2 linked regions of the Caenorhabditis elegans genome follow. The protein of the gene in region 2 purifies or fractionates together with the protein of the main gene of each other region. This does not show direct contact. Each region holds a gene or a part of one and is shown on either strand. Other genes may lie near its edges.

Region 1 (4,946 bases), on a different chromosome or scaffold from region 2:
GACTCGGGCGAGGGAGTTTACACTAGAATTGTTGAAGTTGGGTAAGACTTGGGCATACACTGGGCTAGAAGTTGGCAAGAGTTGGGTAAGAAGCTGAAAAGGCCCAAACTTGGGGAAGAAGCTGCCGGGAATTGCCGAGTATATATGTATATTCCTATTTTCCCGGCGGGAGTTCCACTCCCAATACGCTCGTAAAATATTTTCATCGTAGAATAGAAAACTTGTCGAAAATGAGTGTCAGTTCCATGGACACGTCCTCCAGAGAGTTCGTGCATACAAAATGATACATCAAACATTTGAAGGGCACCGCAACACAATGCGCAAATCCTCACACACATACGCCAACACTTTCTTCAGGTGTGATAAATGAAAAGAGTGCGAGAGCTTGTGTGACATGTCAATCGGTGTGTGGATAAATTACCCCAAACACACACTTCCGATAGTGACAGCCGTGGTGTTCGTCACTCCACACGAGGATAACCGAACGCGGGTGCTCACCGAGATTCACACCATCTTAATTGGTCTGTCTGTGATGAGCGGGCTTGGAAGAGCGAAAGACAACGAATGCGGTGGAATTGGGTTAAAGTTTGCCGACAACCCGGAAAAGATTCAATCTCAAACGGAAATTGAACATTTTGATTAATGAGTTTATAAGCGAAAATGTGTTGGAAGGAGCAATTTGACACTTTCTTTGGGTTTTGGATGCTGACGGGAATATCTTGCAATGAGATTGATTGGGTGTTGACATACAGTTTGAGAGGTCTCTTGCATTAGTCATTGGTCTTTATGATTTACCGAATCGTCGGATAAGAATCAGTATGCGAAATTAAGCATAATTTTATAAGAACGTTTTTCATGAAAATACTTCGTAAAGCTTTTATGACACGGTATGGATATTTACTGTAAAGTACCGTATTCCTCTAATTGAATTTACAGTATTCCCCTCGGTTGACCGGATAAAAAACAGCTCATTATTTGTCCACAGGATCCTTTATTCGATGCCAAGTGTATTCTGTGGTACTCGATATGACGGATGAATTACCACCAAATTTGAACCATATGTCGTCGACAATTCCGATGCTTGTCTTCTCCCACCACTTGTCGTCGTCATCTTCTGCTCAATTATCTTCGCACCATAGTCAATATGAACACTATCCAGAGAAAAGAGTCACCATCACCTTTTATTACCACACACACACACACGGGTACACCAATAAAAGGGCAAGTCGTAAACGAAAAGCGCCTGCCTGCTGACATTTGGTGATGCCCACCCTTTCACATCTGGCATCCTTGACCACTATTACAGGAAGACGTTTGTTTTTTTTCAATGCCCGTTTGAATCACTTTAGAGCATTCTCTATAATTTGGAGCTTTCGTAAAATCACTTTGAAGGGAAAATTGAAGAAATCTAGGGAACAGCCGGGTGCAATCGAGAACGGGGGCGAGTGGAGCTGCACAATTTAACAGAACCTCATGAATATATGATAAGTTCGTGAATGCAATCTCCATCAGAAACCTTAGCATGACGTTGAGATTTTAGGAGCAAAGTTTTGCTTGAGCTCAGATGATAATGATATTACATAGATCTTCACATAGATAAGCTCAACTTCGTCCTTGGAGATGGTTCTGAAATTTTTTAGAACTATTATATTCAGTCAAACACCCTCTTGCTTCCAAGAAAACTCAAGCATCCACCACCCGACGCCAAAAACGCCTGAAGCGGGAATAGATTTTCTTTTAGTGGTGTGATAATTGCCACCCTCTGGTACATGAAAACAACATTAGGTGGTGCTGTCAGGCACACATTGCTTCTTCCTCTTCTATCCGGTCATCCTTCTTCTTCTTCTTCCCATGGGTGGTGTCTCTGTTGACCCTCCTTCGCCTTAAGCCCCGCCCCTTTATCCGCCCGTCCCCTTCGCCTTCTCATGGTGTTTTGCCTCACGTTTGCTGCTTCTAGCTGCTGTGTTGTTTGTCTTCTGGAGAAGTCAAGGATTCTTTGTTCCGAATTGGAACAATGATTTCATACATTTTGCTTTTATTTTTAAGTTTTTTGGTATTATGCTCTATTGCACTACCATCATCATGTCCGAATCTTTGTGAATGCGATCAAAATGACTCGTCTTGGAGTGTTTATTGTCGAAAGGCAATCATAAACGATACGATTTACGCGGAAATTCTAAACCAACTTCCGTTGACTCTTCGATCACTTCATATTCAGGTTAGTAAACGATAAGATCTAAAACCACAACGTCCGTCCGTCAATCTAATCCCTTCATTTACATAAATTGTTTTAGCCGCCCTCAAATCGCATTGGTTCTAACAAACTTCGATGGAATGACAACATAAACCGTTTTGCACAGCTTCGAGTTCTTCGTCTCATCAATTGTCAGATTCCAGCAATGTCCCGATCCATTCGACTGCCATCTTTGGAAGTATTAGATCTACACTCAAACAATATTGAGCATGCGACAATGAGCAACTTTGGTGGTATGCCAAAACTTCGAGTATTGGATTTATCATCGAATCATTTGAATATTCTTCCAACTGGAGTATTCACATATCTTAGAGCCCTGCGATCATTGTCTCTATCCAATAATACTATCAGTGATCTTTCTACAAATTTACTTCGAGGTCTCAATTCTCTTCGAGTTCTACGACTAGACCGGAATCCTATTCCAATTGAACACATCAATGAGTTATTCACAGATGTTTCCCAATTGGATGAATTATATTTGAATCATTGCAATCTTTCATCAATTTATTCTCTGGCTCTTGATCGTATTCCTCAACTCCGTCAACTTGGAATCGGAGGAAATAATCTCAAAATGGTTCCAACTAAAGAACTGAGATCTCTTCCTCAACTTTCTGTTCTCGACTTGTCTCACAATTCCATTCAAGAAATCACAGCCTGTGCATTTTGCAATACGAATATCTCAAAATTGGATCTTTCCCACAATTTGCTCGGAATTTCGAAAGACTCTCCGTTTAACGAGGATGCGTTCCGAACGATGCCATTACGTCATCTGGATTTGTCATTCAATCATATGAATGATTTTGACTCAAAATGGTTGGGATGGGCACAAGAAGAGCTGACTTCGATTGCATTGTCAGGAAATTTCTTGAAAAGTGAGTTTTTGTAGCAAAAGTTAAAATAACCCCAAAACTAGATTTTTAAAACTTTTTAGATTGTTTTTAATTTAAAAGTTTTTCCGATTTTTAAATTTGAAGAACGGTTTTTCAAAGTTACTAGAGATGGCATAATTAATTTGTAATTTTAGATTTCGAGGAGTCATGGACCTATACATTGAAGTCGTTGATTCATCTCGAACTGGCCTACAACCACATCAAATTCATCCCGGTACAGCTGCCGTCTCGCTATTACCACCTGATTTCATTGAACATTTCCGGAAATGAATTGACTTATTTGCCTGACAATATCAACACTTTGCTTCCAAATGTGAAAGTATGTCCATTTTCTATACGAAATTCGAAGCGTTTGTGGACCCCCTTATATGGGGACACGCATGTCATTTGAAACCTGCTCACTGAGATTTCTTTAGACTTTCGACATCACAGCCAACCGATTCCACACCTTCTCGCATACAGATTTGGCATTCCTAAATAATGTTGAACAAGTGTACGTAGATGGAAATCCTTGGGATTGTTCATGTGCTATTCAAGGACTTCAAGTGAGTCTTTTCCTCTCTTATTTCTGAATTAATTCGAACATCTTTTCAGGTTCATATGCGAGATCGTTATGCGATGAGACACATTCTCAACTACGATAATGTCCGATGCGCGACACCATCGCTTGTGGAAGGTCATTCAGTTCTGGCAATTACCGACGTAAGATTCACATTCACGTTATTAATTTCACTATTTAAAAACTTCAGGTAAACGACTGTGCCGTTTTGTTTGGTGCACGGTATGGATTAACGCAAACAAGTGAAATGCTCATACTTCTCGCAGGAGTTCTCCTTTTTGCCGCACTACTTCTTATGATTCTTGGATGCATCTATTTCCTTCGTGAGCGACAGTACAAAGGATCATATGTGACACGAGAACACTCTCGAACTCCACTCACGATGGCAAACACACATAGTTGCTCTTCGAGTACAAATGATACACATGGTCCATTATCACCACCATTTGATCCATTCTTGGTTAGTACTGAAACATTTAAAGCCACTCCTCCATTGATTCCACCAGCACCTCCAAAACCTGGATCATCCTATTTTGGCATTTAAATATCCTTTTGAGAGTTTCAAATGTTTCAAAAATCTAAATCCGTGTGATTATTTGCATCCATCTAGTCGTTCGATCTCCCAGCCCCATTTTCATGTATTTTTGCCCCCTTTTTCGATACGGTGTTCAATTGTTTAACCCTTTGTCTGTAAATAAAATAAACTGCTCGTAGATATACCAAGTTCAATGAAATAGACAGGAGCCTTAATCAGCAGCATAATAGTAGTTTTCAAGAGGTAAGACACCTCTTCTCGGCCGTAAATCCGTCGGCAAAGAAGTAATAAATCGGCGAGGCTGTTGTCTTTACGCCCTGGTTCTCTGTGGGGGTCAACTCATTTGTCAAATGCACACCAAGACAAATGCATAATTGAGAAGGTTTCGAGAAGGAGAGTTGACTTTTTCGTTTAAAAAAACTCCGCGGGAAAATCTCCGTAGCCACAAAATTTTGACGTTTATGAATTGAAAATTGGTTGTTCGACAGGGACTCGTTAATTTATGAGTTTATGAGCCATTCGAATAATAAATTGATGTGCGTATGTATGTGCACACGCGCGCGAATTCGTGGATGTAGATTGCACAATCTGTTATGACACGTCGTCTCATCCGTTAGATTCCCAAGTGACACCCAAAACAATTGGAGTAAGCCAATGCCAATTAAGTTGGATAGATGACCACGAAGAACAAGACATAACTATGAAAAA
Region 2 (4,748 bases):
TAATAATTCATTCTTTTTGATGTTCACTGCTGTTGAAGCTACTCTCTATGTTCTGCTTGATCTGCTCATCGTGGCGGTGTTCATGAAAGCAAGATTGATGTGTTATGAATAATGAGGAAAAGAGAGTGAACTGCCAAATCCAAATTTTATGAATTTGGAGAAATAACCAGACCTCTTTTGGCTCAGAGACACACTCATTTTACGACCTTCTTCCGTGACATATAGAGAGTAATGCGGACGAAAGGATTTCGAGAAATCTGTCCGATCGACTTAGCACAATGCTCCGGAAGTATATAGTCTGTGGTGTCACAGGTTTTTTTTTCGCATCAAAAATTTCATGTCTCCAAGTCGATGAAACTGAATTGTATTTTTTTATTTTAGAAATAATTTTTTTAAAAAAAATTTTTAAATCGCGTTATCCAAAGAAAAAACGAATAATTCAATAGAGAAACTAGGCTTGATCGAAAGGTAGACCAGAAATTTTGCAATCGTTTCGAGACCCGAGCATGTGCGCTCTGTTGCGCGCCTTTGCTACAGTACTTGCATTTGTTTTGTTTCGCCGCCAAAACGATTTTTAACGAAAACTCTGAATTTTCTCTGTTTTTCTAGTGTTTTTACTTGTAAAACTACAAAATTTATTAGTCTAAAAGTAAATTAAAACATCTGAAAGTCGTTTTCGATTCGAAATAACGTTTAAATCACATTTTCCGTTAAAAACCTGATCATGTTCCCGTTTTGAATGTTTCAGACGCGCTGTGTTGAAAATTTAGCTTTTTTCGGATAAAAATCACCTATTTTCTGTCGTAAATGATTTGTGGCCCAGAATCTTTGAAGTCTTGTTATTCTTTTACCCACGCATCCATACGTCTCATAGGTGACATCTCGTGCGTAGAACATTTTGAGCAACAAAAATCGAGTAGCGTGACGCGAACGCATTTTTCTTTTTTCCTTTTCTTTCCTGAAAACGTCCTTGAAGAACGGCCGCTTCTGAAGAATGGAGCAGCTCTCGTTCTGATTGCAAAAAAAAACGAGACAACCGGTAAAGTACAATGCCATCGGCTACCGCCATGCGCAGATTGCGTCGGTTCTGTGTGTGTGTGTGTGTGTGTGTGTGTGGACTGTCAACGAATACATCTATCACCCCCGTTGACTTCTCCTCATGCCCTTCTTTTCTCATCTTGCATTCCATTTTTTCCACCTTATGTTTTTGTCTGTACTTTTTTAAAAATAACTTTTTTTGTTGATAATTTTCGAAACTTTTTTCTCTTAATTTTATTTTCGTAATGAATCAAACAACAGATTTAATTTCTTATTCTCATCGTTAATCCAACGTGCTTCCTCATGGTCACTTTTCGGTCAGCGGGGTAGATTCCCATGAATTCTCGCTTTTTTTCATTTGCATAATCGGGAAAAGGAGAAACCTAGACAAAATAAGAAGTTCTTTATTTCATTCTTCTGATTTTAAAGTCTTTCGTTTATTTTCCGGTTTTAATGTAATCCCAATTTTCGAAATTTTAAAGATGAATCAGATTTTGTACGAGAATAGTTTCATTTGCACAAGTAGTAGTACAATTATTTTCTTGAAAATTGAGGGAAGATTCTATTTTTTCAAACTAATTCATGTTTGTTTAATTCTTAACGTTTCCTTTTTTTTCATTTCTCGTTGTTTTTTCTCCGAACTTCTCTCAAAATTCTTCGCAAGCTTTATTCCAATTTCAGGATAGAAAAAGAGTATCGAACGAAGTTCGACGCGATTCTAGATCACGTCGAAAGACCACCATCATGAGGAGCTTCATATTCCTCTTGTTACTCACTGGCCACATATCATCAGGTGAGAATTCTTTTGACGTCGAGGACATCATATCGCTTCGAAAATTGTTTGATTGGCGATTCATGTTGACATATTTGATTGCAACATCATTTTACGCCCTTTTTTGTTGTTTTTTAATGGCAAAAATGAAAATAAATATGGAATCAAGATATTCAAAGCCTTTTTATAGAAAAAAATTGTAAATAAATAATATTGAGAAAAACGCTGAAAAGCATTTGATGTGCTCAAATTTATGAACAAAAAACAAATATTTCTATAACAGAAACAATTGTCAAATATCCATATATATGTAGCAACATTTCTAATAAAAACTGTTTCAGGCAGCATAGATTGGTCAGCGATCGAAACTCCTCCACAATTTGTTCACGATAAGAATGCAGATACCGTTTACTTTAAAGTCGAAAAAAGTGGAATGAGTGATGAATCGGCGAAAAATACGCCCGGTAATCTGCTCGAACAAACGATTCATTGCTATGCAAATGGAAATCCAAGGCCTTCGTAAGTTTTTTGTAATGTTTCTGAAAAAGTAAAATTTAGAAAAAAAAATGAATCTTCAAATATCTTAAAATAATTTTTATTGAAAATTAGACTTGCATGCAATACTAATTGGGAAAGATACGGTAGTTTCTATCTAAATTTGAAAAAAAATTCGAAGTCTTTTTACTGCTTCTAAAATTGCTTTAAAATCCTTTTGGCAGTTTTGGTGGAGCATTAAAAAATTTGAAAATTCAACATTATGCTCTACGAACAGTTTCCATTTGCATTTTTATTTTTCAACTTCCAGAATTAAAAAGTGTTCAAAATATGTTTTTTATACTATTTTCTTTATTACAGATATCGTTGGAAAAAGGATGGTAAGACGTTCCTGCCGTCCATGTTTCCGGAGAAAGTTGTTCAGAAACCAGGAGAAGGTGAATATTTTTTGTTGTTGTAAAAATCTAAAATTGAGAGAATATGGAACATTTTTGAAATTAAAAAGATGGAGTAACTGAATAGTTAAATGTTTGTTTCAAATTATTATTCTGATTTGAAAAAAGTTCACTTCATTTAAATATAAACAAATTTGTTTTATTTTTGTGCAATTATAAAACTCCCACATGCAGGAAAAACAGGAAAACAGTTTTTCCTCAAATCCAAAAAAAATCGAAATTTTCGGTTAGGCCTAAAAACCGAGAAATATTGATTTCTCATTAAAAAAAAGTTCGGTTTTTCAGAAAACCTGTTCTGAAATAAATATGACATTTTCCAGGAAGCCTTGTGTTCTCCCGTCTTGATGAATCTGATGCCGGATTATATCAATGTGAAGCTGAAAATTCGAATGGAACAGCTGTTGATCGTCCTGTCCGTGTACAAGAAACATGGATTCGTCATTTCAAAACTGCGGAACCAGAAGTTGTAGTTGTCGAAGTTGGAGATCCGTACCAAAGAAATTGTTCTCCACCTGCTAGTAATCCATACGCAAGAGTTTATTGGATTCTTATGGGAAAAGAACCGGGACATTTCGAAACTATCAGTAGTAGTCATATTTCTAGCAATGAACAAGTGAGTGATAACAGTTTTTTTTTTCATTCTTTTTACAGATCGTTTCTCGTAACCTCATTGTGCCAAGAAAACTTTTCTCATTCACTCCCTGTTCTTTGTAAACCAAAATCAAACAATTTTCATAGAATTGAACGATTTTTGGAGAAAGATTGAAGAAAAAACTATTCAGTGCTTCTGGCTGTATCGTATTCAATTTTTCGAAAAAAAAATAACTAGACGAATAATCTCTGCGATTAAGTTTCAAATTTGCTGCTCGTTCCAATCTTCAAATACTAAAGAAAACTTCAATTTCCATGTATTTTTTTTCAATTAAAATCAAATCAAACAGAAGTTTTTAAAGTGTTTCGATTCTATATTTTGAAATTGTAACTCGTGGATGATTTCGACGATTCTCGTTTTTAAAGCCAATTCGAAAACTACTTTCCCATTTTCCCAAGCCAAATTGATTTTTTTTGACAACATCTAAAGCATTTTTGTTTCGTTCTCACGAAAAGTACGTTTGAAAATATAGCATATGATGGTCAGCTTTAAACACTTATTTCGACGAATTGATAATTTATCCGACAAATATGCAATCAAATTATATTTTTACATTTGGCATTTTTATGCTAAAATTTCCTGTTGTTAAGTTGGTATCTGTTTCTAGTGTACGTACTAACAATTAGGTCCTTCTGTCGATTCTTGCCTTCTATTCATACATCATACCAATATACATCGCCCTTCTCACTATTATTATATTCTATGTCCAAATTCTATTGTAACCCCTATAATACAGACCCTTTTCCCGACGTCTCCATCAGATGAATAAGTTTTTTTTTGCGTTACAACAACACCTGTCCACTTCTATTTGTACCTTTCCGCCACCATTTTTCCGTTGCGTAATTCAGTAGTTTGCAACATTTTTTCCGTTGTTATTACGTCTCCATCGCAATTAGTTAGACATACCCCCGGAGGTTGAAGGATGAGAAATGACCTTCTGAAGTTTAACCAGTTGAAATGAGAATATTTTGAAGTGGATAGAAAGACATTAGCTGCTCCTAAGAAGTAACCCTTTGAGCTTTATCCTCCATTCACACATTGTGAAAAGTGGCCTCACATAATATGAACGAAGATGATGATACTGGTGTGAACCTATTTGGAGAGGAGAGAACGGGAATGAGAGAAACGAAGAAAAAACAGATTAGCTGCTGTTAAGTGGTGGTTTTGTCGTCTTAATTTGATTGAAATTTTTTGACGAGACCTTTCAATTGTCTCCATTTTTTTGTTTTAAATGATGAAAAAGCTTACTTTTTTAGCGAATCAAAAAGCAGTTGTTTTTGTATGCTTTTAAAAATAGTTTTTATATTAGTCTTGCACTTTTACGAAACTCACCGCC

Evidence for each region. Proteins that work in one complex are often made in the same cells at the same time.
Region 1: the proteins of sax-7 (region 2) and dma-1 purify together in Caenorhabditis elegans (affinity purification with western blotting; 2 studies listed by BioGRID). This does not show direct contact.

Annotation. Positions count from the first base shown.
Region 1 is NC_003279.8:8,280,052-8,284,997, forward strand, and holds dma-1 (LRRCT domain-containing protein), read left to right. Parts: upstream 1-1,917; 5' UTR 1,918-2,014; coding exon 2,015-2,218; intron 2,219-2,294; coding exon 2,295-3,126; intron 3,127-3,278; coding exon 3,279-3,463; intron 3,464-3,560; coding exon 3,561-3,689; intron 3,690-3,738; coding exon 3,739-3,846; intron 3,847-3,893; coding exon 3,894-4,247; 3' UTR 4,248-4,426; downstream 4,427-4,946.
Region 2 is NC_003282.8:8,060,950-8,065,697, forward strand, and holds the start of sax-7 (Neuroglian), read left to right. Parts: upstream 1-1,709; 5' UTR 1,710-1,782; coding exon 1,783-1,831; intron 1,832-2,151; coding exon 2,152-2,329; intron 2,330-2,665; coding exon 2,666-2,742; intron 2,743-3,080; coding exon 3,081-3,373; intron 3,374-4,748.